Zea mays: one gene and its partner. The protein of the gene in region 1 binds, or shares a complex with, the protein of each later gene. Links are inferred from orthologs where the notes say so. Each region holds a gene or a part of one and is shown in the gene's direction. Other genes may lie near its edges. The genes, in order: 50S ribosomal protein L1, chloroplastic-like; 50S ribosomal protein L34-like.

Region 1 (4,616 bases):
GTGATTTGAGCTCCGTTCTAGTTGTGAACTCTGTGTGCTTCATTTTGAGCTCAAGTCTTGGCTTGTGTGCGTGTGTGTGCTGCGGATTTGTGTGTGTTGCTTCCCAACCTTACTCTTGTGCTTTCATTGTGATCTTTATTGTAAGGGCGAGAGACTCCAACTTGTGGAGATTTCTCGCAAACGGGAAAAAGAGACAAGGAAGAAAAATCGTGGTATTCAAGTTGATCATTAGATCACTTGAAAGGGGTTGAGTGCAACCCTCGTTCATTGGGACGCCACAACGTGGAAGTAAGCAAGTATTACTTGGCCGAACCACGAGATAAAAATCACGTGTCTCTTATGTGCTTTCTTTTTGATTGTCTGTGTTCGCAAGAGCTCGTTTCAAGCTACTTAGCCGTTCTAACTTTAACAACTAAGTTTTGTGGCTATTAGTGTTGAATTTTACAGGATCACCTATTCACCCCTTTCTAGGTGCTCTCAATATTGCTACAGTTTTTGTATATCATATATGTTGCATTTCCTTAAATTATATATATATATATTCAAACATGATTATATTTTTTTTTTAAATTATAGTGTATAGATATATATAATCTCTCCTTTATGTACCACAAATGGATGTGTGCCATAGTGGTAGGAGCCCTGCCGCGTTGGACGGACACGGGCGCTCACGCGTAGAGGTGGTAATGGATCACGATCCAAATGCCTCTTCACAAAAGTTAAGGCCCTTAAATAATATTAGTTCAAAAATGAATAAGAATAGAGCCCGACCCTAATCCGATTCGATCCTTAAAATTTGCAGTATAAAGTTTATAGCCCATTACCACCCCTACTCACGCGTGAGAGACACATGGCGACGCACAAAGAAAATTCTATATTAAAAGTGTAGTGATATATGAGATAATTTTCTCTCTCTCCCTCTACATGGTGGCAGCAGGGGAAAAAGTTGGAGCTCCTGCACTTTCTAAAGTTCATTGTATGTATGTGGAGTGGTGTGCCATTGAAACAACCTAAAGTCTGATTACAAAGTGAGAAAACCACATGTTATGGTCACACTACCAATGTATTACAACATAGGCCTCAGAACTATAGGAGGAATTGACGGTGGAGGCACGAGTGAAGGGGAGAGGGCGACGGGGACGCGAGGGAGGGAGAGGTTGGAGGCGACAGATTGTGGGAAAGGGAAGGGTGACATGACAAATGATAGATGATCTAGATAATATTGTTCATCATTGAATTTGAGTAAGGGTGATAGAGTTATCCAGCTATCTGAATTTGTTTGGTGGATAATCTAAATAATATAGTAGTATAGATATAGAGTAGAGTCAAGGGCCACACACAAACAGTTCGCAGTCGCAGGCTGGCAGCCACAGCCACACATGCGTCCCTCGTCGCTGCCGCTCGAACCCACACGCGAACCGCGACCACACACCTGTCCGGCTGCCTCGCGCGCATCCGCATGGCTCTCGGTCCTCGGGGCTGAGCCAAATCAGGAGCTCCGAACACCTGCGCGCGTCTCGGCCCAGCCAACTCGCCGTGTTTCTCCTTACCCGTCGCCCGCGCGGACACGACACGATCGCACACTCGTACACCCGCTCGTCCCAACTCCCAACCAAGATCAGGCAGGTGACCGGGCGTCTCGGTTGAGCCAAAATCACTGGAATCAGGGGGGAGGAGTTTTCCAGGCGCGGCGCCCGTCATCCCTGCCCCTGCGAGGCTGCGACCGCGAGCCCGCCCACGACCAGCCCTATCCGATGAACACCCAGGCCGAGATCTTTCGGCTATAACCAACCCGCGCTGCCACTTCGGCTTCTCTTTCTATCCCTCCACTCCCTCTTATCTGCTGCGCCATCCTCCCCGGCCTCCACCATGGCCACAGCCGCCGCGGCCACCGCCTCCTCCTCCCTCCTCGCGCCGGCGGCCAGCAGCACGGCGCCGGCCTCGTCAAACGCGCTGCTGTTCCCCTCCTCCGTGCCGTCGCTGCGTGCGTACCCGCGGCTCCTCCTCGCGTTCCGCCGCCCCGCCGCGGCCGCCATCGCCGACCCGCAGGGGGCCGTGCTCGAAGAGGAGGCGGAGGTCGACCAGCAGGGCCAGTACGACGACGACGACGGGTATGAGGGCGGGCGCGGCCCCGCGTTCACGGCCCCCACGCGCCCGCGCACCGGCAAGGCCGCGCTACTGCTTAAGCGCGACCGCGTACGCATATCGCCGAATACCCCACCCTCCGTATATGGTTCCTGTGGCTTGCTTGCTTGTGTACGGCCGGTGATGCTGTGCTAGTTTTGATGGTGCGCAGACGAGGTCGAAGAGGTTCCTCGAGATACAGAAGCTGAGGGAGAGCAAGAAGGACTACGACGTGCCCACCGCCATCTCGTTGATGAAGCAGATGTCCAGTGCCAAGTTTGTTGAGTCAGCGGAGGCGCACTTCCGCATGAATCTCGACCCCAAGTACAATGACCAGCAGCTCCGGGCCACGGTATTGTTTCTTCTTTTCTGGCCTTCTCTTTTTGGTTGCTTGTGCCCTGTTGCGTTCGTTAATTTGTGCTGGTCGTGGTGACCACAGGTGAATTTGCCCAAGGGAACAGGCCAGTCGGTGAAGATTGCGGTTCTCACACAAGGTGGGCGGTGATTGAAACACAACGAAATCCTGTTGAGCGATAGTTAGTACAAACTGAATTCACTGTGCTAGTGGGTCATATGTGTGATTGTTCTGTTTGACACTATTGCCTTGCCTCATGTGTGACTATGGGTTTAATCTGAAACACGCTTGTCTTTATTTTTATGCAAACATTGTGTGCTGATGACCCGATTGGTTAATTTTGTATTTTTTTTCTTCTTAAAGTACCATGGCTTCTTTCAGAGTTCAAATGCAACATATTGGATTGGACAAAGTTAATTCATCTTTGGCATCTTGGTAGAAGAATTTAACAATCAGTTTATTATGTTCATGATGTTTCTACTTCTTTGTTTTTTACAAGAAGTCACTTGGGAGTTGGGATGGTGCTATTTTTGTGCTGTCCACTTAGCAAACCCTTGTTGAATGACTGAAACTTCTCTTTCATATCCTTTGTGAAAGATAGTCATGTTTTTCTTGTCATTATCATAAAGATGGTAGCACCAGTAGTTGAAATAATCATGGTCATTATATGCATTAATAGTTATTTTCTGACCTCACAGGTGAGAAGATAGATGAAGCTAGAGCTGCCGGAGCTGATATCGTAGGTGGAGAAGATTTGATTGAACAAATAAAAGGAGGATTTATGGAGTTTGACAAATTGATTGCATCACCTGATATGATGCCTAAGGTATGAGCTATTAACAGTTCTGCCTTCATTTCAATTTACTGTTGGATACTACCACAAAATTTGAAATGAAATATTTAGTTGTGCTTACTATAGGTCCTAAGTGTCTTACCATGTAAACTGTTAATTTTTTTGTTTTCTATAGATAAAATAGATTGGCTATGCCAATCTAATTTCGGAATACAAGAATACATGTGTGAGATGTTTCATTCTTTGATAACTAATGCTAAACTAAATGTCCAAAGTTCTGTATATATTTGTTGCATTATTTGACATGTTCGTAGAAACTTTCAATGTGGGCTCCCCTTTAAATGATTATCAGCCTGAGTTATTTCTGTTTACTTTTCAGGTTGCGGGCTTAGGTAAGATTCTAGGACCAAGAGGACTGATGCCTAACCCCAAAGCTGGCACTGTTTCTTCAAATATTACTCAGGTATTGAGGAAGTCAATACAGATTTTGTTTGCCTCAGTTTTTTTATCGATATTCTAAATCGTTTGTCTTCATTGCTTAGTCTGGGCACTGTGACAAGATTTAAAACTTCATGCCCTTGTAGTATTTACTGACTTCTAGGATTCATGTACAAGTAACTTCCTACCTTTATCAGTTGCATTTACTTTCCTGTACTCCGATAATTCAAGGTTCAGGCATGGTGTTTTTATTGAACACATGTTTGTAATTTAATTGTGCATAGCAAGAGTTCAGGAAGTTGAAATAGTTGGTTTTACTGATCGCCGAGGAAACTAGATGAGACACATGTTGGAAGATATGAAGCGTTATCAGTGGTAATAATATGAGTAAACTACACTGGCGGTCCCTAAACTATTATGTAATTCTCATTTGGGTCCCAAGCTATGAAATTGCATATCTAGGTCCCTAAACTATATAAGTATCATATCTTGATCCAAAATAACCACATCACAGTCCATCAACTGACGTGGCACTCCAGCGTGAAGCTGACATATGGGTCCATAGTTCATAGTTACAAGGGCTGTCTAAACTATCATAGGATTCTCAGCTAGGTCCCAAACTATAAAACTACTCATCTAGGTCCCTAACCTATTAAAGTACTACAATCCTAATCCAAATTTTATAGTTTGAGACTTTTGTAAGAATCCAATGATAGTTTAGGTATCATCCTTGTAATTATGAGTTATGGACATGCATGTCGGTTCCACGCTAGAGTGCAATGTTAGCTAATGAACTGTGATGTGACTGTTTTGCACCGGGATGGGATACTTAAATAGTTTAGGGACCTAGATATGCAATTTCATAGTTTGGGGATCTAAATGAGAATCGTGCGGTAGGTTAGGGAC
Region 2 (4,050 bases), on another chromosome or scaffold:
TTCATCTACATATTGCTTTAACTGGTCTCCTCGTTGATCCATGAAAGTCGTAAGAGATAGATCTGGAGTACTTACAGCGGGACCCTGAAGTGGAGGTAGGAGAGATTCCATACCGATATCCCCTTGACGGGTGATCTTCTGGTGGCGATCCACCGTGAAGTGTGACAAGTACTTTTCTACCGGCTCCTTGTGCCATTCAGAGAGTTTATGCAGCAGCTCCGCCTATTCCTTGTCGCGTTGTTCGTTCCATTGCTGCATCACCTCCTTCTCATCACGCATTACGAGGTCTTCAAAGGGTCTTTGGTCATCAGCCGGGAGCGCCTCCATGGCCGGCTTGATGATGTTGGTGGTGGAGATCTTGGTGTGATCCTTAGAACCGACCATCTATGGGCCGATTTTTAGCAGGTCTAGACACCTAGTCCCCAGCAGAGTCGCCAAAAGTATGTTGACACCTTTTTCGGGCGCCAAACACTCAACAAGAACCGGCGACGGTGCTCTCTACACAGGCGCAAACGGTTCGCGCCCAGGGGCCGGACGGTCCGCGACCTGACGCAGGGCTAGGGTTCCCTGCCTGACGGCCGGACGGTATGCGCCCTAGGGGCCGGACGGTCCGCGTGTGCGCAGGGGCGGCGAAAGGTCGCCGGCGGCGCCTGGATCTCGCTCCCGGGAGGGACCCCGTCGGGGAGGAGAGATTCTAGGGGTTGTCTAGGCTCGACAGGCCGACCTAGATCCTCTAATCGACATAGAGTCGAAGAGAAGCGGAGAATTTGGGGATTAGAATACTAAACTAGGGCTAAACTAGAACTAGACTAGAACTACTCCTAATGCATAAGGTAAAAACGAGTAATAGACTTGATTTGATCGATTGTTGGGGAGTTCAATCGGCCGTAGCCCTTCATCTATATAAAGGGGGAGGTCTGGATCCGCTTCGAACTGATTTCCGAGTCAATCCCACGGTTTTAGATAACAAATCCCATGAGAAACTAGGAACCCTAACTGACTCTGCGCACGTGCGGACCGTCCGCGCCACCACCGAAGACAGTCCGGACCGTGGACCGTCCGCGCGGCCCCTTTTGGCTTTCAACAACTGTATATGCTCGGACTTAGAGCTAAAGATCCAGAAATGAGGAAGCAATTCTTCAAGCTTTACCATGATACAGTTTTGTAAACATTCTTAATCTTTAAAAGATGCTAACAAGAGTATAGGACAACAATTAATGCTTCTGCATTTCAACGTATCTTATCTTAACATATTTTACTCCGTAGCAATGCACGGGCATACAACTAGTATCATTGTAAGTTTTATAATGGAATGAAGCCCTCTAATTAATGGTAAAATAGCGAAACTCACTTTTGATAATGGCGCAATCCTAAATTTCTCCGTGAGGAACCGGGATTCTCCAGGGCGGAGGAGGGGATGTGTGGGTCAAATGTGCACTAGCCCATAGGAGGCCCATAAGGCCTGTCTCATCAAGCGTGGATAAGATAAAATAAAACAAGCACCAGGGACAGGGAGTGGCTAGACCGCAGCAATTGCGATTGCGAGTCCTCCAAACCATGGCGCTCGCCCTGGCCTCTCCAATGGCGTCTCTCTCCTTCCACTCCGGGAGGATCTCGGCGGCGTCTATCGGAGGCGTCGGCCGCACTCGCAGGGCGGCCCCGGTGGGCGTATCCGCCTCGCCGTTCCTCCGGAGCTCCTTCGTCTCGTCCTCCTCCACGTCGTCCGCCTCCGCCTCCGCCTCCCCCGCTTCGCTCGCGGCGGCTGTCTCGGCGTCTCTGGCATTTACGTCCTCCTCCGCGTTTGCGGGTGAGAATGTATCCTGTAATCCTTTTCTTCCTGTATTCGTGTGCTAGCGTTTGGGCGGCCATTTGTTTTGGTCTTTATTTGGGGAAATTTTGTGGGTAGTTTGCTTACTAGTAAGCTCGTACGGGGAAATGACATTAAAAATTTGAAATTATGACTTCATGACCGTGTGTTGACGATAGATTTGCAGAATAGGATGTTTGACTTGCTAATAATTCACTAATAATACAGTAAGCTGGTATCAAGAGGGTGGAGTTTTGGAATAGTTTGTTCTTTGTTGTTCATTACTCTAGTAGGGTGAAGAACAGTAACTGGGGATTTATGTTGTTTTAACGTTTGAACCGGAATTAATTACACTCACTTCATCTATACAAACAGAAATAAGGGTGTCCTAACTAATTCTTTGAAAACATTGAAGCTTGTGTGGTTGGTATTATAAAAAAACCAAAAATTCAGTTAGTCGGGCATATTAATAGAGAAGGACTAGATACACCAACATCGTTGAAAACAAAAGAAAAATGCTCACGAAACGAAGCGATGGCAAGACAATCACCAAAATAATAGTACATCGCCAATAAAACCATCAGAGCATTGGCAATCAGAACACGCCCTGATAGCCAAACAAGATATGGGGTGGGGTTCATATGATGCCTCCAAGGAGGTAAACAACATCTGCAGGTGCCGCCATCGATTATAGAACCTATGCTTTTGAACCAAAATCCCCTTAGGGTCTAGAGACCTCTTGACAATGCCTACAAGGAGGAGTGCGTCACCATTGCTGGCATCAACAGAAAGCCGAGCGTAGCTTTTGTCGAAAATCTGCTACCCCAAAACCCACACCTTGTTCCTGCAATGGCAAGGAGCCCACCAACGGCACTGCATGTTGTCATCCACCAAGTCTCAAGATAAAGTCATTGCAATAGCATTTTCTTTTGCTTGACAAGAAATCAAGATTTAAGAAGGGCTGCATATGACAGGACTATTAACCAATATAGTGAAGATTATATAACACAGTTGAAGCATAAACGCTTCCAAGAAACTTGATCTCAGGACTGATAGTCTGATACTACGACAACACTTTAATCACACTCGACTTTTCCATTACCTAAAGCAAATCCCAAAGCTCCTAAAAGAAGCACGACAAAGTTGAATCCAACAAACCATTTAAGCATTGTATAACAATCCAAACACAACCAGATAGGTATTCACAAATCAATGATTGTGAGTGCATGTGTGCCTTCGTTGTTCTTATACTTATAGCATGTTCTATGCCAGGTTCATCTTTGGGAATCGAGTTCAGCTACAGTATAATGACAACACGGAGATCCCGTGGTATGCAGATTAGGGCTGGAAAGGCTGCCCTCTGCATGACCAAGAGGTCAAGGTCTAGGAAGTCACTTGCCCGTACACATGGTTTCCGCAGGCGGATGCGGACTACTTCTGGAAGGAAGGTACTGAAGCGCAGGCGCGCCAAAGGCAGGAAGGTTCTTTGCACAAGGACAAACTCAAACAGTGGGAAGAAAAGAATGTTCTAATTACACTGCAATTTGATGTGCTCGCAACTGTAAGTGTAATGTCTACTTGCAATCTTCTAAGCCGCCATCTATGTGTAACAATCATGTAGCATCCTATTCCTGTTTAATTGGTTAAAAATATCTGGATCACCTTCTGCTTCCAAGGTTTTATTTGGTGTATGAATGATATTTTCTTATGAATATTTACTCTTCCCTAGTGGGCCTGAACCTGCGTGCAGTATGAAGGAACACTTGAGAGTAGATACCGTCGCTGTTATGAAGTAGGATCTCCTTTTACCCTGCCCATATTCCGTTATGAATACTGAATCTTCCCTGTTGGGTCTGAAATTGTGTGCAGTAGCATCGTTCGCTATACTGAACTAGGATCTCCTTTTGCGTTGCAGGGATAATCAGTTAAACTATTATATACTCCGGTTCCAATTTATAATTCATTTGACTTTTTTACACTAAGTTTGACCATCTCGTTTTATTTAAAAAATCATAATTATTGTTAAAGTTTACTGTGGTTTTGATTAGCATACAATATACTTTAAGTATGGCTTTGGATTTTTTTATTTTTTCAAAAAAAAAATTGAATAAGACAAACCGGATTTACCTTCATTAGCTGATGATGAAACTACTTACCCGTGCGGCCGTTTGATCCTTGCGCTACTTAAATTCTCTTTTCGATGGAGAGAAAGAGGCCGAAAGGACTCTGATGTCTAAAAGTAG

The links.
Region 2: 50S ribosomal protein L1, chloroplastic-like (region 1) and 50S ribosomal protein L34-like share a complex: the UniProt entries of both Arabidopsis thaliana proteins name them as parts of the 50S ribosomal subunit. The link is inferred for Zea mays from reciprocal best matches to the Arabidopsis thaliana genes EMB3126 and AT1G29070.

Annotation. Positions count from the first base shown.
Region 1 is NC_050101.1:154,264,653-154,269,268, forward strand, and holds the start of 50S ribosomal protein L1, chloroplastic-like, read left to right. Parts: upstream 1-1,814; 5' UTR 1,815-1,869; coding exon 1,870-2,196; intron 2,197-2,296; coding exon 2,297-2,476; intron 2,477-2,563; coding exon 2,564-2,618; intron 2,619-3,177; coding exon 3,178-3,305; intron 3,306-3,651; coding exon 3,652-3,735; intron 3,736-4,616. UniProt on the Arabidopsis thaliana protein: This protein binds directly to 23S ribosomal RNA.
Region 2 is NC_050098.1:192,685,714-192,689,763, forward strand, and holds 50S ribosomal protein L34-like, read left to right. Parts: upstream 1-1,531; 5' UTR 1,532-1,557; coding exon 1,558-1,807; intron 1,808-3,079; coding exon 3,080-3,339; 3' UTR 3,340-3,483; downstream 3,484-4,050. UniProt on the Arabidopsis thaliana protein: This protein binds directly to 23S ribosomal RNA.